Arabidopsis thaliana: one gene and its partner. The main gene of each other region encodes a partner of the protein of the gene in region 2 in a complex. Each region holds a gene or a part of one and is shown on either strand. Other genes may lie near its edges. The genes, in order: TRS120 and CLUB.

The links.
Region 1: CLUB (region 2) and TRS120 share a complex: the UniProt entries of both Arabidopsis thaliana proteins name them as parts of the multisubunit TRAPP (transport protein particle) II complex.

What each region holds. Positions count from the first base shown.
Region 1 is NC_003076.8:3,491,487-3,503,639, reverse strand, and holds TRS120 (TRS120), read right to left. Parts: upstream 8,446-12,153; 5' UTR 8,309-8,445; coding exon 7,898-8,308; intron 7,706-7,897; coding exon 7,499-7,705; intron 7,392-7,498; coding exon 7,209-7,391; intron 7,026-7,208; coding exon 6,916-7,025; intron 6,843-6,915; coding exon 6,783-6,842; intron 6,306-6,782; coding exon 6,017-6,305; intron 5,856-6,016; coding exon 5,566-5,855; intron 5,264-5,565; coding exon 4,383-5,263; intron 4,272-4,382; coding exon 3,366-4,271; intron 3,254-3,365; coding exon 3,030-3,253; 3' UTR 2,695-3,029; downstream 1-2,694. Other genes in the region: MYB64 (myb domain protein 64), read right to left, coding at 5-808, 887-1,013, 1,156-1,496; ALF4 (aberrant root formation protein), read left to right, coding at 8,490-8,654, 8,811-8,990, 9,089-9,238, 9,328-9,400, 9,725-9,891, 10,007-10,066, 10,180-10,330, 10,424-10,752 and 3 more. UniProt on the Arabidopsis thaliana protein: Specific subunit of the TRAPP II complex, a highly conserved vesicle tethering complex that is required for the proper transport of proteins in post-Golgi trafficking pathways to the growing cell plate in mitotic active cells.
Region 2 is NC_003076.8:22,095,130-22,104,654, forward strand, and holds the start of CLUB (CLUB), read left to right. Parts: upstream 1-4,634; 5' UTR 4,635-4,926; coding exon 4,927-4,990; intron 4,991-5,383; coding exon 5,384-5,613; intron 5,614-5,885; coding exon 5,886-6,067; intron 6,068-6,427; coding exon 6,428-6,611; intron 6,612-6,883; coding exon 6,884-6,974; intron 6,975-7,196; coding exon 7,197-7,357; intron 7,358-7,470; coding exon 7,471-7,560; intron 7,561-7,654; coding exon 7,655-7,816; intron 7,817-8,105; coding exon 8,106-8,167; intron 8,168-8,398; coding exon 8,399-8,489; intron 8,490-8,730; coding exon 8,731-8,894; intron 8,895-9,049; coding exon 9,050-9,263; intron 9,264-9,361; coding exon 9,362-9,525. Other genes in the region: AT5G54420 (hypothetical protein (DUF295)), read left to right, coding at 675-950; PHOS32 (Adenine nucleotide alpha hydrolases-like superfamily protein), read right to left, coding at 2,698-2,753, 3,844-4,564. UniProt on the Arabidopsis thaliana protein: Specific subunit of the TRAPP II complex, a highly conserved vesicle tethering complex that is required for the proper transport of proteins in post-Golgi trafficking pathways to the growing cell plate in mitotic active cells.

The DNA of each region.
Region 1 (12,153 bases), about 19 Mb from region 2:
GTAGCTAGAACAATGGGAACCAAATGTTGCTACCTTGAGTAGAACCAGACAACATTTCTATCAGATCCATTTCTCTTCTTTCGCTAGTGGAGTTAGCTTGGGGCAAAAGCAACTCGTTTTCACCGGCATGCTCATTGTTGTTGGAAGACAGAAAAGTAAGTGAAGAAGAAGACGACGCCGTACCGTTCAACAAATCAGATAAGTAGATATCAGATGCGAGGTGGGAAGAATTGGCAGGTTCTGTGACCATTGCTCCAAGATGTGTTCCAAAAGTATTGTTGTACAAGTTAGGTTTAGGTTTAGGGTTCTCGATCATAAACCCAGATGAAGAAGACTGGGTTATCTCCGTACCTTGGCTCAAATTGATGTTCTCGAGCGAATGGTTCTCAAAGATATTTTTCAGGAAAACAAGCTCTTCGTCATAAGGATCATCCAAGAGTGACGATGTAGAGTCTTCAGAATTGAACTGATCATAATTCGAAGTCGAAAGAACATTGTTACCACTAGTAGTCATGATGTTCTCGCCATTGTTCTTGTCATTATTCTCGATGTTTTTAATATAGTCTTCGAGAATGCGCGGCCTTTTAGCGGATGGAGAGAGATCATCAATATCGCTGTTACTATCCGCGTTTTTTGAACGCTTATGTTTGCGTTTTGAGTTTTGGCGTCGTTTTGTCGCATTCCAATGGTTCTTGATCGAGTTTTCGGTTCGCCCTTGTATGAGTTTAGCGATCTCTGCCCACTTATTCCCGATTCTGGTGTGTGCTTCCACAAGAAGTCTCTCTTCTTCTTCACTCCAACTATCTTTCTACAAAACCAAAACAACAAATATGTTTACATATATATCCGAAGTTTTAAGTGTAAGAATACAGATCTATATGAAAACCTTGATATCAGGACGGAGATGATTATGCCATCTCTCACGACATTGCTTGCCTGCTCTTCCCTCAAGCTTCTCCGAGATTACTGCCCATTTCCTCTCTCCATGTTGCATCACCAACTTTATCAACTTCCTATATACATATATATAATGATTATACTCATTTTTTTGACAAAAATAAAATAAAATATATATCATATATAATGCAAACACAGTATTATGTAGAAGCATGAAGATCTACATATATAATTATAATATATAGTATATATATATACCTGTCTTCATCGGCTGTCCATTGCCCTTTGATGATATTCTTGTATGGTTGCTTCTTTGTTATATCCTTGCAAGTATAATCTTTAGCTGCACCTTTAACGACGATTTCTCCAATAACGGCCAAGTTTTTCTCCTTCCTCGGACCAAACATCATGTTCTCTTTGTTTTCATTTCTAATCTCAATCGCCCTTGTCGTCTTCACGATCGGTCGGTCTATAGAACGTTCTTGTTTCTTGAAGCACAAGGCTTCGTTCTTTTGGCCGTTCAAGAATCTCTCAACCGCCGTCAACGGTGGTGCAGCGCCGTGAGCGAGGCTCTTCTCTTGAATTTTCTGTTCTTCCATGGAAGAAAAAGGAGAAAAAGTTTAGTGTAGAATGGGGAGGTGAGACGAGAGCACAAAGGTGGGATAAAATTAAGCTGGTAATAAGGAATATGAGAATTTAATGGGAGGTAAAATAAAATGCACACTAATTACTAAATAAATTTCATTAATTATATTGACTTTTTAGTCAAAAATAGTATAACCCTTATAATAGTAAAAAATAGTCCTTCTAGTTATCGATACTTTGTAGTTTATAGAAATATATCAACTACACATCAAAAGTTATTACATGTATATATCTTAGAAGTAAGATAAAAAATAATCAAGACTACAAAATCTGAGACTTAGGAAAATATCACATATGGATTTTATCTATTTGACACTTAATATCGATCAAGTCAATATTTTTACGATGCCATTAATCTTTATTTAGATCAATATCTACGAACAATATAATGATATATTAGTCACATTATAGAAGTTAGAACAATGTTTAACTAAATATTTATGAATTTTATAAAGATTGTTCGGCCATAAATCTCACGTATGTAAGAAAATAGTGGGGATAATTAGTGAGTTAATAGTATAGGTTAATTGTTGAAACGTGTTTTTGTAAATGTGTAACCGACGAAGCGGCAAATGAGAAGACCTTCAATGATAAATTTACTTATGTAATAAATTAGTTAGTTGACTACAATTATTTGGAAGGATAAAATTTAGGAGAAGTCCCCAACAAAAATCTAGTAATATAACTAAAAAAATGCCAATAATCATACTCGCAAACATACATAGCTGGTGGGTGGTTTTTCCAAATTATTATTGGTACGTAGTAATTGACTAAAATATATTCATAACCTCATGAAAGCGTATTACAACCACAAAATGAAACCAAACTTCGTTCATGTCTTTCAGCCAAAAAGATAAATTGCACAGAATTTTAAAATAACAAACGCAATAGAATAGGACAATCCTCTTTAGCCAAAGATACTTTGTGTCAGTTTTTTTTTGCTTTAAATTAATAATCGTAACTATTTCTAAAGTAAATTATTGTATTATTTTTTAGTTATTGATTAATCCGTAAGGCCACTAATACACGACATACGAGCTTTGGGGAAACTTCACTGCCTTGTTTGATTATATCAATGAATGGTATTTATTTGACGGTGAAAGTTATGTCATTGCTCTGTGGACCTTTTCAATACACAATAGGGAAGGAATTCATGGTTAAATAGTTTTATTTTTGCTAATATTATGCTATAATCGTTTTATTCTTTTTATCACTGAAAGTGATCCCACTGAGCAGAGTACAAACACTTACTTTGAGAAAAGTAGTCTCAGAACCGAGGCCGTAAAATTCCAAAAAAGCATAGTCTATGCATGGTGGTCATAAGATGACCCAAGGTAAATACAGAGACAAACACACAAGCAATTATAGAGATATTTATAAAGACCCATACTTAAACCCGGAACTTATAATTGATTCTCGAGAAATCAACTAACAGAGCAAAAAACAGAGTATAAATTATAATGCCAAGACCTGATTTGGTTAACGAATCACAGTGCACCTCCAGCTACACAGACATGAAAAGGCGGTCCACGACAGAAGATGGGTTCGTTTGGAGAAGCAGTTCCTGCTCGTGCTCTGAGTACATTGTTAGCGTCTTCAATTACAGCAGCTGCTACCATCGTGTACTCTCCTGGAACAAGGAAGAAGAGTGAGAAACAGTGTCTTGCTTCTTGCAGCGGCGCTACTTCCATTGAGATTCCACTAAGAGCACCTGACAAAAGTATAAGCCACCTTTTACATATCTCATTGTAATACACACGGCTATAATGGCAGCAAATATCTATGTTACACAAATATTTATTACTTAGTGACAGGAATCTTACCAGCCCAGAGGACAGTGGCATCAGCTCCTTCAGTGCAGTTCTGTCCAGCTACATCTCTGCAAGTAACACTTAGATTCAACTTGATAGCTTCGCTAGTGTTATTGCGGACCAGAACCTCCATAGGAGTGACTTCATGTGACAGAACAGATCCCTTTGAAAATGGGGACTCAGCCTTTGTCTCAGGATCCTTCTCCAGACCGTTTCTGACCAGTCTGAAACCAAATGTTAGCGGATCTGGGAGCAAAACATCCATCACAGTCGTCTGGAGAGCTGTCTGAATTGCATCCTTGATGTCCAGTTCTCCTGAGCTGTTCCTTCCTGATTGCCACCGAACTTTTATCTTAGAGATGAGATTCTTGATCAATGTGTTTATCTCAGCTTTCGTGTTCTTCTCTGAGAAGCTCGGATTTCTACTACTTGAAGGGCTACCAGGTGGAGGGTCCTTTGTGAAGAATGAACCATCAAGAACCGGTAGCTTAAAATGCTCCAATGGAATCAGTACCCTAGCAGAATAGTCCCGGTCGATTCTTGTTTTCGGGTATTCATACTCTGGAGAATCTTGTACTGGTGAAGAATCATCTTCCTTGGCAGAGTTTTCCAGCTGAACGAAGACGCTGATTTCAAAAACAACATCTGTTGGGTTAGATAACTCAAGTTCAAGAAACCGTAGTCCCCAGCTTCCCCTAAAGGGATTGATCTTGACAAGGCTGTCTGCATTGCTCTCTCTTTCAATGTCTTCATCCCGAAGGTTGTCACTCACATGTGCAGGGATTTCCATGGAAAGCAAACGAGCTTTCACAAACGACAAACCTTGCAAAACACAAATTTGTAAGGGAACAACAAGCCGTCTGCCCGGTGGCACGATAGATTCTTTTTCTTGGGAATCCCCATTGTTAGACAATGGCCCTGCAAAAATATGAATACAAAAATGCTTTTAGTAATTAGTCATCGTGAGGATACATGAAGCACTGAAAAAGTAAGATACATAGAAACATACGTCAAGGAAGAAATGAATACCTGCGTAGTGAATAAGCAATGATGGACTGGTTCCGTCTTTTGGTCTTCCTGTGTTACCCGCAGCATTCCTGCCACTGCTCATAGTATTGTCAGAATCAGTTGGACCCACATGCCAAGCTTTTAAAGTCACAGGCAGAGTCACTTGTGCCCCAGGTTTCAAGGGAAGAGCAGACTGTAAAGCTTCATCTGCGATCGAGATAACAGCATCCTGATTCTTTCCAGAGAGCGAGACATGTGCCTGTACTATTGGAACTGTGCCAGCATTTGCAAAATTTATACACACCTCCCGAATTTCACCTTCATACAGAATAATTGCACCATCACCACCCACAACATTAGCCACAAGGAGGGGCAATGGAGGAGCAACTGATATGTTAGGAACAAATACATGTCGTAGCTTTGCAGATCCGCAGGATCTGAAAGGGTCAGAAAATACAAGTCCTTGTGCTGCTCCAAGAAGCAGATTGTCAACATCCCTGAACACATGTTCAGTGATTACACCAAAGCAGTGAACTGTGCAGCCTGGAATTGTCACTGGTCCTACAGCTGTTGGAATACCAGATAATGTGATCACTTTTGCAGAGTTAGGGGGAATGTCCACACTGACAGGAAACGCATCAAAGTTACTCGAGTGAGCTGAGAGATAAATACTATCAATCCGCAAATCGAAGCAACAAGGATTTGCTAACTCCACTAAGACCTGAACTGGTTCACCGACCACCCAAATCAATTCCTGCTTGCTACTTTCGTTGGCATCTCCTTTGCTGAAAGGAGTGTAAATAAATGGCCCAGAAGGAGCAGAGCCTGTCCACCAATCTTCTCTTGCTGGATTGCGTTTTACGATGTCCACTTGGGAGGAATGGAGTGGGAAAGAGAATAGCCTGAAATTTCATTAAAATAATCATGCTTAGAAGAACCATTAAAATTTGCCAAAACATACACAGTTTTGCCAGAGTCAGCTAAGAACCAAACATGGAACACATTCCTGAAAATAAACACATATTGGGCATATATGAAGCCCAAGAGATGGATTAAAAGAGATTATTACTTATTTTTCTGATCTCGTTGCTCTACTTAGAGTGCTAGGAAATATAACATGACCAAGTTAGGTTGTTTCATGATGGTGAGAGTGCACAAGCAAAACATCTCTGAGAGCAAAAAGGTTGACTGCTGATAAACATACCTTACAAAAGGCAAGGCAGGGTCAGCACAGCGAGTTCCAGAAGGTAATCTATCCGCTGAATTTGCAAGGGAATTAGCAAGTCCATTTTGACCTGAAGGTGTAATTAGAGGATAATGCCACCTCAGAAGCCTAGCTGCAGCACTCCATGCAGCTAAGGGATCTCCAGCACGAACAGCAGAGAGGAGTATCTCCCTAAGCACAACCATCTGCAAAGTGCTCCAATGGGACTCGAACAGGGAGACAATGGAATGATGATGCATTTTCCCAGCGTCAGGTAGGCGCCCAGTTTCCTTTACCAACAAACACAAGAGAAGATACAATATATTATCAAAGTATGATACATGGATAAATACCAAGATAGTGAAAAGTGATGATAACAAAAAAAACTCCAGAAAACCATGCTCAATCAAACACAAGAGAGGAAAAATAATGCCTATGCTGGCAAACTCACATTGTTAACCGACACTTTTGACATGGATGCCCTACTTTGAATTCTGTATGCATCAGTTGTCATAGAGAGAACTTGCATGGCACTGATAGCAGCCAATCGATTGTCTTGCTGCAAATACAATTGGGCGACCTGCCTACAGAAGAAGGCTGCTTTCCGTTGATAACCAAGGGCTCCAAATAAACGCGCTACTTCAACATATAATATGAGCCTATCACTGGCATCAATTAAAGACTTTGCACCATCAGCTGCATTTGTTAATAGCTCTACTACTTCCTTAGCCAGTTCCCTCCTGCACAACACATAAAATGACATTGTAAGAATGATTAAGATCAAAGATACCAAGAAAAAAATGAGGATGCAACCAGAAGGTTAAAAAAACATAAAAGCTGCCACAACCAGAGAGTATCATTTCATACTAAACGGAAAACCCATGTATTTTAGCTTTTTCAAAACGTAATAATTATTCTTTTCCCAGCTAACATCACCATCAATCACAAAACATTAACATACAGCCATCCTCCACTAGGCCACTTAATACTTAATAGTAATCTCAATATATTGGTATTATAAGTTGAATGTTGCAGATAGTTTTAGAGGATCAAAGCCACACACACACAAGATCCCATGAGTTTATATTTAAATTTTAGTAGCGATATAGCTTCCTACTAGACAAAAATACCATAGCAACCTTAAACTTAAGCAGGAGACGGCAAGAAAGGAAACCACACCATGATAATTTAAAGAAATAGAGAGCATACAATGATACCTGCAAAGGAATCTGGCCAGCTTAAGGGTAGCTTCGAGTTCAAAGCTTAGGGGCGAAACTCTGCAAGGAAGAGAATTGATTGCTATTACTTAAGTTTATCGAAGAAGAAAGCCAAACAGGTTGGTAGAATTACCTCTGAGCAATTTCTTGAATAAATGACTTTCTGTAGTGCAAGATAACATTAGTGTATCGATATCTAACTTCATCTTCTAAAGCCACATCACGTTGACCCATCCGATCTACCTAATATTAAGAAAACGGAAAACTAAGATGATTGCAAACTTAATTAAAGAGGGACAGATGAGAGCAATTTCATAATCAGTGCACTTTCGATAAACAGCACATCACTATCCATGTTTTTGGACTATAATACTATTAAAAATGTAAGAACAATGCATTTAGAGATATATTTGCATAAAGCCTTACCAGTAAGGCACAAACACTGCCTTCCAAGGCACCGGCATACCAGAAGTAATCTCCAGTCAATCTGGCCAGTTCCAGAGCAGTAGAATAATGAGCATTGGCATCAACAGGTGAACCAGCCAACAAGGAATAGTCTCCTATAGTTTTTTGTGCACGTCCCAGCCTACGCTTTTTGGCCTTAATAACCTGCATTAAACAAAACTAGTGAGCCTAGAAGACTATGCTAATAAGTTATAAGCTTCCAGAGGAAGAAATGAAACGTAGACCAAATTATAGGACACCTAGACATAAACCTCCTCTGAGTTGAGACTAGCTTGGGAATCCAAAGGCGTCTTCAAAATTGTGCCAGCAGATTCTGCCTGAAGAACCCACTTCTCAAATTCCATTAACAGCGAAGCGGCAATGTCTTGCATCATTGTTTGTAAATGAAACTCCTGAGTTTGCTTGTCAGATGGAGGAAACAAAATCAAATTTTCACCCTTCTTGTCTCCATCTTCAAGCTGCAAAAGACAGTACATTGTTCAGTAAATCGTCAATCTAACGCATCCATAAGCAAGTAACTAAATCACTGGTACAAAAAATGGACATCACTATCAACTGTAGAGACAAATCAGAAAAAAGCTAGCTAGATCCATCGGCATCGAGCTAAGAATGCCATAGCAGATAAGAAGCATGGAAACTAATATACTTACTTGCGAATCGCCAGGGGAGAAAGCGAAGCAGCGCCGGACAAGAGCCGAGGAATAACTCTTACAAGCGACATTGAATTTTTCAGTGACAGAATCAAGATCAGGGGACGAGGGACAGTGGCAAAGGCCGATCACGGCGAGCATCTTCCGATTAGACTGAAAATCCTCCCAAGGACTCGGAGGAGAACCACCAAGCACAAATTTGAACCGGAGAGAGCCGGAATCCCACGGCTGATTCGTGAATGGAGATTTCTGATGTTCAGTGTAGAAAGAGCTAATAGCTGAGAGCGCGATCGTGTGATGACGGAGCAGCATCGAGTGGTAGTCCCGGAGAAGCGTCGGCGGAATAGTGCCGATCGGAAGGACGGCGATCCGAATGATCGACAAAGTCTCGATACTGACGTCAGGTTCCATGGCGAGATCAGAGAAGGAGAGTGAGGATCTTTCGGTGAGCGTGAGTGCACCGGATCTGAAGGAGACGAAAACGAGAAAGTGTTGAGAGAGAGAACGTGGTCTGTTTGGGTACAGGTATTAAACTATTCTTAGTTAGAATTAGACTATCCGGGGTTAAACTCTATTCATATAACCAAACGATATGGTTAAATTCGCGATTATTAATACTCTCACTGTGAACGAAACTTGGGCGAAATTGAAAAGTTTTGGCGTTATGGAATCGTCCATTGAAGGGAGCTCCGAGTCAACTACTGTCACTACTTCTCCTTCGCGTCGTGTACGAGAACTTTTAGCTTTGTGTTTCAGTGTAAGCTTTCTCTCTTCTTCTTCTCCTCGTTTCGGGTTTGTGTAATTTGTTTTCTGGGTGGAATTTCTAGATGCTTTGAGATCGATGAATACTTAGCTGTTTCGTGATTTTTGGAGCTCGAATGAAAAATTCGCCGCTAATTTTGTGATTTTTCAGTCAGTTGAAGAAGCCGGAGGATTTCAAGACTTTGAGAGTTTTGTGACAGAACTTGTCAGCTGTTTGGATTCTTTGTATGAGAACGTAGCTTTGGATGCTAACAATGAACTGGAGAACGATGTTATTGAAGAAGTATTAGATGAAATTTTGAAAGTTTTATCATCTCCTCAAATGGATCAGGTACTTTTCAGTTTTCGAATCGCTTTCAAAGCCAAACGGAAGGATTTTGTTTAGAGAACCAAGCTTATGATTTTGTTCCCCGATTCATTTTATTACAGGATGTTATAGATGCACTGTCATTTCACTTGCCAAAAGTAACTTCCAAGTTTGCAGACATATCAAGCAGATGTTTACAGTTAGTTGAGGAAATCGTTGATCGGTTTGTGGAAGCATGCAATCCACGGGATATGCTTTCAATTCTTTGTGAGGTAATTGATCTGGAATTTCTTTTTCCTTCTTGGTATTTGGCATAAGAAGATTACAAGTTCTTTTTGATCACCTTATGACTCTGAACCAGGCACTCGATGCTGCACGGTGCTATCATTCAGCCTCCACTTGTTCTACTCCTTTATTGCATGGGCTCTCTAAAGGTACCAGTTGAAGATTTCTCGTTTTCAAGATATTTATAGACTCCTCTCATGAAAGTGAATTTTAGCCTGGCACCTGCAGTTTTAGTAATACTCTTGCTTTGATTGTACACAAGTATGAATATCCTAAAATTTATAGACTTCTCTCATGAAAGTGAATTTTAGCTTGGCACCTGCAATTTTAGTAATACTCTTGCTTTGATTGTACTTAAGTATGAATATCTTAAAGTTTGTGTTTGAATCCCTAACTAGTTTTGTTACTGAAGATATTAATTTAGTCTTCGTGAACTGAAGCAGTAAAAAGTTATTCAAATTTCCTGGTTTCAGTATTTATTTTGATCCAGAGGCGTCACTACGAGCAATTAAAGGTTGCAGTTCCAATTGTCCTGAACGTTTTGAAGGACATTTCATTGGAAACAGACGTGCAAGTTGAAGATTTATTTGATAAGGCTCTAGGCATTGCCTCTTCAATTCGAGACGTTTCTTCAAAACTGGTCTGTAAGTTTGATAAATTGGCAATTAGGATTCCCTAAATCACTACCCAAAGTGTAAATTCTCTAATTTGAATATTCGTTTTGCCTGATTTGATCTCTTTTCTTTGTTTTACAGAATAACGAAGAAGAAGCAAAAGTCCGTTGTCTACTTTGTCTCTATGTGATACAGATAACGGTTTGTACTTGATTCCAACTTTGTTTCGATATCATGGAACTTTTCTGACTTTTCTCTTTTATTATGAGCATATAGATTTTCTTCAATACCTTAGATTTGGTCTGGTTTTGCAGGCTATTATTTCAGTTAGCATCAGAGACAAAGCGGCCTCTTGTATTCCTCTGGTGATTCAGTTAGAACCGTTCTTGACATCCTGTGGTTTAACACATCTTGGTTTAATCACGGGGAATGACACTGAAAAATTAATGAGCACGGTTGCTGGAGGTTACTCTCAATACTCAAAAACACTTCTTCCTGATTTCTCAATAACACGCATCTGTTCTCGTATCACATGTCTCATGGTTGTAAAATGAACAGATGATGATGAGTTTATCACCTCTTTCCCTGACATCAGCTTGGGTGCATCGCTTTTATTCATCTGTGCAAAGATCTCCCATGAGGTTGCAGAGGCGGCTAATGCGGTTTTAGGAAGTGTTGTTGATGAGCTTCAAAACAATCCAGTGAAAAGGTGGCAAGCTTATGGGATGTTGAAATATATACTTTCCTCTGGAGATCTGCTCTGGGAATTCAAAAGACATGCTATCGAGTTCTTGCTTGACATAACAAAAGGAGTTACTTCATCTCAATGCAATGATGAGCAAATAGATTGTTCGGACTACACGCCTGGCATCTACGCTACTTTACAGGTGTAATATTCTTCTCCTTAATCTTTACACCATTCAGGTTTACCAATTACTAGCGCTCCAAGTGTCTCGTTTCTTTCAACCAGGCTGTTACATTACTGATCATGTATGCGCCAGACGCAGATCTGAGGAAAAAGACATTTGAGGCACTGAAGAGGGTAAATAAACCTTGACTTAATCAAAATTTGGATAACTGATTTTGAGTGACGCAGAATTGATACTATATGAAGCATGAATCCACAAAAAAAGAACGAACAACACAAACTTTTGAATGGCTTTTGTTTCCTCAAAATTCTGATTCTTTAGATCTATACTCGTTATTGATGTTTTTACACAGAAATGATGGTTTAACCAATTCAGATGATTTGACTTGTGCTGATTATATTTTATAAGTAGAAGAGGTATCAGCCAACTTTGACACAGAATGACTACCCTCAGTCCATATGCCTTGCTTTTCTTTCTTTTCATATACTTTTTTAAAAACATATCTTCTTCATTCAGAAATTTAGTTATCTATTGGGCTTGGTTAAAGTTTAAACAGAGATGATTAATAATCTCGTCTTACAATCTTACTTTTGTGCTGTTTGATTAGGTTCTTTCTGATATCCCAGCTCCTCATAGGTTTGACGTTTTAAGAGCCCTTGTCACAAATTCCCGGTCTCCTTCAATGGTTAGTATATTTGTATCCCACTGAGCTTTATGAATAGTAAATGCCATCATGGTCACCTTTGGCGTTGACCATTCATAAACTGCATAGTTTAATGTCTTCAGTAGTCATACTGAGATAATATTTTTAAACATTTGGTTCCAAAAGAGAAAGGTATCCCATTTCAACTAATATCTTTTGCTAAATCAACCAGACAGCAATCCTTCTGGGTCTAGTTAAAGACAGCATGAGCAAAAGCAGTTTGCAAGATACAGATTGTGCGGCTGTTGATACGCATGTTATTGAGCTAGTGGAGTTGGTCTTAAGGCCTCCACAGGGAGGTCCTCCACTCCTTCCGGACCAGAGTGATGCGGTGATCTTTTCTTTTCCTATATCAATTCTTTAAAAGTATGTTTTGTTTCTCTTTTCATGTGCATACTATAAGCCCTTTAGGCAATGCAATGATATGGGTTAAGGTAAATGCTTAAAAGGACAAACATTACATACATACCGAGAAATAGAGAAAATGCCCCTTTCTGTGCAAATGAGAGTAGCTTGCTTTTCTCGCTAATTAAGGAATTTTATGATGTTGCATTGTTTTCTAACTTGTCGTAAGGAAAACTGCGATAACAAAAGACCCCAGAATTTTCACTATTTATAAGAATCAGAGGGTCAGAACGAAAATAAGGAGAAACATGGTTGTGTTTGAAGATCGATTATTTAACCACATTTGTGTAACAAAAGTCTTTGTGTGATGT
Region 2 (9,525 bases):
ATATCTCCCATCAGTCGATATTCTTTTAATCTCTAAATATTCAGATGATGCTCTGTCTCTGTTTCGAATTCCATATAAACAAACAAATAATTAAGAATCAATAAAACAATCAACTTCAGTCTTCAGCCTATGAAGTATTTTTTCTGTTTCTTGTTTCTTTTATGATATATGACTATCTTATATATATAGTAACATTAATGTCCTTGATGACATATTTGCTAATTTTGAATTATACAGTAATTATAGTCCTTTTATTTATTTATACAATATTAGAGTATAGTTTAAAATTCTTACATTTAATTTGAAAAATTCTCATAAGGTCTCTCTATTCACATTTAAAGTTATAGTCTTTCACAACTTTTATCCAGATTTCACATTTATTTTATGCTGTTAAAATATTTATTTTCAATTATAATCAATCCACAATATTCTTTTATCACAACATGTTATAATACGTTGGGTTTGTATTAAATCGTTAAAGAAACGTTAAGTGTCAACGAACCACATCCTTAATTGAGAAGATTGACTGAGACGTAGAAGCGTGTTGTCTAGCATTCCTCTGTTTAGCATTCATCTGTTTCCAGTCTCTACAAGGGAGTACAAATTAAAATCTCGGAATTTTGTTTCCAACTTGCCCCAAGACTATCACTACAAAACCGTTTTGGTTAAGTGGTATGGTGAGAATGCAAACAAAAGCTGTAATGGTGTTCAAACTTGATGAAGAAGGAAACGCTTTTTACACTCAAGACATTGGGGATCTCTACATTTTCATCTCAAGGTCTGAACCTTTCTGTGTCCCGGCTAGCTCCTTTCCCGGCATGTTCTCTAACTTCGTTGAGCTCTTGGATGTTAACGAAAACGTTACTGTCGATCTGTCTGATTACTCCATGAATGGTGGATTTGGTTATTTCGGTGCACCAGCCCACATCCCACCTCAAAAACTAGACTAGTTCCATCTCAATCTCGCCAAGCAATAGACTAGTAGTAGTACACTATATTCCACTGTTACAACATGTTAACTATGTACCGGTTCTTAAATTAATTAGCTAATGACGTGTATGCTGTTTATGCGTTTGTTTGTTCCCTCATGTCAAACCATTACATTAGCTAATGACTTGTATGCTATTTATGCGTTTTTTTTGTTCCCTCATGTCAAACCATTCTCGTTGGTGTTAACATCTCAAGCCAATTGTCTCATTGAGTTTGTCAAGTTCTTGTATTGTATTTTCCCAGCCAATGCTTGGATTTCTAAGAGGCTGTTTCAGCTTTCTCTTCTAGAATCTATAGTTTTCGCGACCCAGTGGTTTTAGTTAAAGTGCTTTGAAGCCAAAACTAGGTGTTTTCAAGAATGGGGATACTGAAATTTGGACCGTGTCATGTTAGGAAGACTTGCTATAAGTACATAGAGGTTAGTGTGACCATTTCACCTCTTGGAATGTGAGTTTATCTGACTGTCTAGTGTTTGTGATGTAGAAGTCCATTATTCTTGTCTGTGTATCAGTCTAAACTAGATACTCAAAGGAACATTACATTTGCAAGAATATAGATTTGTACCAAAGAGCATTAGGATTAATCAAAATAGGACTACTGAGAACTGAAGGGACAGATTTGATGTCCATTGTTTGATCCGTGCCTCTCACAGTTGAACTTGTTTGTCAAATCAAGTTAAATTGTTTGTGAATTTAGCGTTGTATTATATGTGAGATCTATAGGTATATTTGTCATATGGTTTTCCGTATATTCATGCCCTGTTTCTGATTAAACAAACACTGAATCCAAAAAAAAAAAAATGATGTAAAAGGAAGAAATTTCTTGTACATATCCGCCGCGTGAAAAGATGTAAAATCCGATAATTATAGTCATCTACTCTAAATTTGCAAAAGAAATTAGACCTAATAACCAAACAAGTTTTACGAATTACCAAACATTTTTGTTTCTTTGGTTGTTTCATTTTTCTTTTTCTTTTGGAGAAATCCATCTTTCATAACTTCAATCCTTAGATTTACCTAAATTCCAACAAGTCAAACCAAAACCATAAATCAACCAAATCTTTATTTGATGTTACCATGTAACTAAATTCTAAAATACCAGTCTTTATTAAAGAAACGTATAATCCTTCTTCTTCCTAAAAGGGGTTCATTAATCATACAACTCCTTCATGTTTAATGCAGAAACCACTCAACACTCATTCATATTACATAACCCAAAGAAATTCATCAACATTGTCATAGCTAAAGAAAGAACACACATTCAACACTCCTCTGAACATTCCGCTAACACCCCTACTTGCTTTGTGTACCTTATTAATTCCAAAAACATGAAGAAGATAATCAAGAGACAGGTAGACCATATAAGCTTACAGATATCGTTGATGTGAGTTTTATATTACCTAGAAGAGAAGAGGGTGATATATTACTTAGATCCCACGAATCATCACTCATCTGTGACAGAAATACAGGAACAAAAAAGGAATAAGACATTGTCATTTGGTCAGATCATAGATATATCTACTGGAATAACACTTTATTCACAACACACATTTCACTGTTCGAAGATACACAGAGAGGGATCACTTAAAATATCATGCAGATTATACATTGCTAGTCGTGATGCAGTATGGTGGAGATAACAAATGTAACCTATAGATAATAGCCTTTTTACCTTATCAGTGTACATTCAGATCTTTTTACAAATTCACTAGGTAGCTCCGATCTTGTAACGTATACCAAATGCTCCAGAACTAACACCAGTGACTATCTTACAGAAGAAGCAATCTACGAAACTCAGTAACTTTATTTGACAAGTTTTCATCTGAACTTGTCATAAAAGTAAGAAGGTAGTGCCTACATCTCAGTTAGATTTGATATCTAAACATTACCCAAGAGTATAGATAAAAAAAATTTTGGCATGTTAACCAGATTCTTCCTACATATTCCCATTCTTTCCTAAATTTTCCTCTGTTAACATTGTAACCTTTCCTAGTCTGGACCAAAGCAAACAACAACAAAAAGTATAATTGAAGCTTCCTTTTTAGAACTACTGCACTATTTGATTTTCAATGTTTCATACAACAACAAGTATACAGTCACCAACTTACGAAATGAGGGGTTATAGAAGACATAATTTCTTATCTGCCTTTTCCCAAGTCAAGAATCATAATACTTGGATGCTAATGATACTTAATGTTGCCTCAAACTAAACCGAACAGAGGAAAAATAAATCAAACAAACTCACTTAGAAAAGTTTATCTTCAAGGGTCAAAAGAAACTTTCCTCTGGACTAGAGTACTTTTAATCTAAAGTCTAAACGCAATCAATGGGTAGTGTAAACAATGCAAGAAATAGAACGATGTCGGCGCTTCTTTGTCCCATGTGTAGGGGAACAATAATCTTCTAACATATATTACAGCAAATTAGCCATAACCACCAAAAATTATGATATATACTATACAACTAACTTCAGTAAATAGAAACAGTTTCGGCAGATGAAGAAGATATATACAAATTCATAGAACGAATACACTAAAGCTAGGAAATCATCTATGTACATGACCATCATCCTCAATTTTCGGGTAAGCAAGGCAATGAACATGGACAGCATTTCTCACTAAATCGACAAAATCATCTTAGTTCAGCTATAAAAGGATCTCATTTTCCTGTGCTACCATCTATGGCAATCTTTTTCACAACATATTCACGTGATCACAAAATTCACAACACTCACTACACTACTGAATCTAAATCTGACACATCAACAGAAACATCCATGAAAAAAATAACAACGAAAGCAGCTTATCTAATCAATCACTGAATCACATAGAGATAGAGATAATTGATCCCTGACCTTTGATGTGTTCATGATGAGCAGAAGCAGAAGCAGCAACAACATCTCCATCATCATCTCCACCAGACTTGACAGTAACAATAGGCACAGGTCCATCACGATCATCAGGATATCTAACCACAACAACAGGACAAACACAGTGATGAACACAGTAATCACTAACAGAGCCAAGCTTGCCATCACTTCCTCTTTTTTTCTCAGCACCAAAACCTCTACTTCCCATAATCACAGCACTAAGACCAAGCCTCTCAATCTCAAGACATAATCTCTCTCTCATATCATGATCTTTCACTATATGGATCTTATAAGGAAACCCTAACTCCTTCAACGGTTTAGCTAGATCCGCAACTTTTGTTGAAGTAAAAGCATCAAAATCCTCTTGACTAGGTTGAGGTTGAGCGTTTGGATCTTCAATTTGAGTTTTCAGAGGGAGAGGTCCCCAATCGGCACCGAAGAGGACGGAGGTTGGAGAAACGTGGAGAAGAACAACGGCGTCTCCGGGACGGATGTAGTGATCTACAGCCCAACGAACGGCGAAAGAGCTTTCTTCGGAGAGATCAACTGCGACTCCGATTTTACGACGAGCTCCGGCGGTTGGTGTTGGAGTTGCGGCGGAGGAGGGAGTAGATGAGGAGTGGTGATGGTGAGAGTGACGTGGAGATGGAGGGTGATGGATCTTGATGTTTGGAAGCTGTGGATGATCGGAATCTGCTGGATTCATGATTTTTTTCAGATGTTGTTTTTGTTCGTCGGAAAGTGGGAGTGAGGGAGGTTTCTCTTAACGGAGAAGAAAGAAGCGTTGTTTTTGTTTTTTTAATAGAACATTAGACTGCATGCCGTTATTTATATACAAAGACGACAAGCATTCTAATATAGATGTAGTTAATAGAAGGAGTGATCCAACGGTCAGGATCAAATCTGAGCGCCATAGTTTTGAAGAAGACGATTCACTAGATCTCCGGCGTCGGTGATTTCCTCCACTTCCTTTTCTGGCAGCTAGAAGACGAAACCTCACTCAAATTCTGATCTCTTTGTATAATTCGATCGAGTTATTCGTATGATTCGTATAGATCGGTGACTCAGATGGCGAACTACTTGGCTCAGTTCCAGACGATTAAGAATTCCTGCGATCGTCTCGTCGCCGCCGGTGAATTTCTCCCCAATTTTTTTCAAATGTGTACATTTCTAGGGGTTTTGTTTCTCTACGATTGCTGCATTCGATTAGGATCTTATTTCTCCTTTTTTTTTTCTGCCACATTTTGCGATGTCATAGCTATATATTAGTGGAAAGTTTCTCAATGTAGGTGAAGGATCAAATCAGATGATATGAATCTGTTAGGTTGTTGGTTGGTCAGGTTATACTCATGAATGAAGCTAAAAGTGCTTAGAAATGAGCATCCATTCCTGAAGGGAACTGATCATGATGATTTCTTTTGTTTCTGATCTTAAACTCTACTTGTTCGTTAGTATTAAGATGTCTTCTCTTTATATTGTTCCCGTTGCTCGTTGTAATAGTGGTTGCTTGCATATTCTTTTACAGTGGAAGATGTGTGTGATCTGTGGCCTACAGTGAAAGGTTTATTTGAAGAACATCAGCCATTAAAAAGAGCATTCTTGACTAACAAGACTCGAAATCCGGTTTTTGTTGAGAACTTGCCGGTTGAATTCATATTAACTACAGACGCGAGGCTTCGTAGTCGATTCCCGCAGGAGCAGTATTTGTTCTGGTTTCGAGAACCATACGCAACTATAGTTCTTGTCACATGTGAGGTACTTGCTTGTTGATATGATGATATGTGTTTTTTTTTTCTGTATCAATCTTGGCAGTGGAGAGTAGTCACGTGCCAAAATATGAAACAAAGATGATGTGCTTGATGATATTCGTTTCTGTTTTCCTTTTCTATAAGAGATAAGAACCTATGTTTAGATAGTAGGTACCGTTTCTAATGTATATGGTTTCTGGATTAGGTTAGATTTATCACTTATGTGGTTCGACAATTTTTGTTCTTCTAGCTTTTCTGAGTATACCTTTGACCTTGCAGGATCTTGATGAGTTTAAAAACATTCTCAAACCACGTCTGAAATTAATTGTTCAGAATGATGAGAGGGAATGGTTTATTGTATTTGTATCTAAAGCTCATCCAAGTAATGATCAAGCAACTAAAAATGTCAAGAAAGTATATGCGAAGCTTGAAGTTGACTTCAGTTCAAAAAAGAGAGAAAGGTAAGCTATGCAGATTGGACTGTGTTTATGTTTTTTTGCTCTGATACAAGCAGGCACGAACCGAAAAAATACCATGCCAGATTCCTAATGAGACTTGATTGCTCCTACTATAGTTCTAACATAAATAGATTAGGTTAAACAGTTTGCACGATTGCAATCACTCATATTTTTGCTAGATGCATAAACTAAACCCATTTAGCAGTAATCACTCATTTAAAGGAAGTTATCTTTAAGTTATATACTTATGGAAATGCAGACGGGATAAACGCTAAAACACCTTTTTATTTACTTGATCAGTTTTACTTCATTTATGCATGCCATACATAGTCTTCATATGATAATTTTTGCAATGCTTTTAAGGTGCTGTAAGCTGGATGTACATGGCCCTGAAGGAAATTTTTGGGAGGACCTTGAATTAAAGATTACCGAGTGCATCAGGAATACCTTGGATAGGCGCGCACAATTCTACGAGGATGAGATACGCAAGCTCAGTGAGCAGCGGTTTATGCCAATATGGAACTTTTGTAACTTTTTCATCCTGAAGGTTAGCTCTCTTCTCAATTTGTGAATGGAAAGTGACATGTGACTTCTACGCAAATGAATAAAATGGTTTAAAATCCTGTTTCTTCCTTTTTGTAGTTAGATTTTATACTTTTTTAATAAAGTCTCTGATGGAGATTTATGTGCCCCTTTTGTTTCTTCCATAGAAGTATGAAAATAATCCCCAAGCTTAGAAATCAACATTGGTCCTTGCAGTCACATTTGATGAAACTTTTCTCATTTTCTTAAAGGTCATAATGTTCTATGCTGTCTCAGGAAAGTTTGGCTTTCATATTTGAGATGGCTCATCTTCATGAAGATGCATTACGTGAATATGATGAACTAGAGCTCTGCTATTTGGAAACAGGTTCTTTTCCTACCTCTATATCTCTCTCTTGCAGATCCGTGGCAGCAAAAATTTCATGTTTTGTCTATTTGTTATATTTTATATTCTTAGGTTTTGACAAACCTGACATGTATCTTTATCTCTTAAAGCATTTGGGATCAGTATTCATCCAACAAACTGATTTCTTTTTTCAAGTTTTTTTTTTCTGAACAAATAATCTATCATGCATCACCTTCAATGCAGTTAATATGCCTGGGAAACAGAGGGATTTTGGAGGATTCGACGGTGAAGATGACCAAGCTGTGCTGCTGAAACCAGGAAGCAAACCATTGACACAGATTGTGCAAGATGATTCTTTTAGAGAATTCGAGTTTAGACAGTATCTCTTTGCCTGTCAATCTAGGGTTGGTGCACACAAGAGACATCATATCGATCACAGTGTCCTTTTCTCCTTTCAAAACTGTAGCTTTACTTTTACAACCTTTTCATTAGCTTACCTCTATGTGGTTCTTTGCAGCTGTTGTTCAAGTTGAATCGTCCATTTGAAGTTGCATCTAGGGGATATTCTTTTGTTATTAGTTTTGCAAAGGCCTTGACCCTTCATGAGGTAGCCTATACTGTTACTAAAGAAACGCTTATCTTACTTTTGGTTAGTTGATTTGACCGACCTTATTTCCTCTCTTCTTTTGATATTTTTGTAGAGTGTACTGCCCTTCTGTATGCGAGAAGTTTGGGTAATTACTGCATGTTTAGCGCTGATCGAAGCAACTGCTTCTCATCACCATGATGGCGTTGTTGCACCTGATATTGAGAAGGAATTTTTCCGTCTTCAGGGTGATCTCTATTCACTTTCACGGGTTAAGGTAGAAATCTGCTTGCTTTCAAAATATGTACAATGAACAAAACTTCCTATTTGCTGACATCCTCTTTCAATTATTGACTGGAATTTGAACCGAGGTCTCTGTTGAGTAATTTCTTTTGAGTTGATATTGCATTTGTCTGTGTCATAGTTCGGTAATTGTCTTATGTGATGTCTACTAGTTTCTTCATGTCCAATCACTTAAAAAGTTTTTTTGTTGGTTGCATATAACTACAATATGAAAATTATTTTCAAGTGCTTATACCCATTGAAATGCCTTTATGTCATGGCAGTTCATGAGACTTGGATATCTGATAGGATATGGAACAGACATCGAAAAGAGTCCACTGAACAGGTACGGGTCTATTTTTGTTATAGCATGTGCGTTACCTGTTATATAGAAGTATTAATTCTCCAATGACTTCCCGTAGAGAAAGGATTACGCAATTAGTGAGGAATTATATGTGTCACTTTAAATAAACAGAGCAAGTCTTTCTTTGCTGAAAAAAGCATGTCGATTTTTCTTTCTCTTTGGGAGGCTATGCTGATGATGTTTAGTAGTAACTCCTACCCATTTTATGGACAGTGCTTGTCTCAGTATGCTGCCTTGGCCAAAACCGGCTGTCTGGCCATCTCTTCCACAAGATGCTTCCTCGGAGGTGCTTGAAAAAGAAAAGGTATAATATACATATGCTGCGTGAATGTGTTATCTATCTGATAGCATTGTTATTGAAGCCAATCATGCTTTTAGATTCGAGCTAAGAGTTAGCTGTACTTGCATGGCCTCTAGTGGACACTGACATAATACCAGGGTATTGTTTGTAAATGTATTATATGCGAGATTTAGGGCTGCGTAACTATATTTACCATCTGTTTCGTTTTTCTTTTATAATACTTATCTCCTTTTTTTGGTAAAAGACTATTCTTCAAGCAACTTCAAGGACCAAGCACTTTGGTATTCAACGGAAAGCCTTACCTCTTGAACCATCTGTCCTTCTACGTGTGGCTAACAGAAGAAGGGCTTCTCTTTCAACCGGAAATATTCCTGAAATGTTTGATGGGCGCCCAAGTTTTACTGAAGGGTAATGAAATTTGTAAAATTCTTTTCTTTAGCCCTTCTTGTTTTCAAATTTGTTAGTACTTTAATCTCATATATCTTCGAAGTTTCCAGGAAGTATTGCAAATCATCACCTTCTGTTATAAGGAACTAAAATGATATCTTTATAAATTTCGACAGATCAGGTTTAGAAGCGTCTCCGAGAACACCTTCATCACTTAAAGTACAAGCACCTCCCATGTCAAGAACAAATTCTTCACCAGGAAATTTTGAGAGTCCCCTAGATAGGCCTATGAGGCTTGCTGAAATTTTTGTTGCAGCTGAGCACGCTCTACGACTTACCATTTCAGATCATGATTTGTTGAAGACATTGTCATCTATTCAGGATTTCGAGGTAGCCTGCTAATACCATTTACATAAGGACAATGAAGCTTCTGATTTTATGCTGCTCTTTATTCTAGCTTCTCATGTATATAAATTTTGTTGTGGCAGAATAAATATCTTAACCTAACCAAAGGTGCTGCCGAAAACTATCACCGTTCCTGGTGGAAGAGACATGGAGTCGTTCTCGATGGGGAAATTGCAGCTGTCTGCTTCAAGCACGGAAAATATGATTTGGCTGCAAACTCTTATGAAAAAGTTTGTGCCCTTTATGC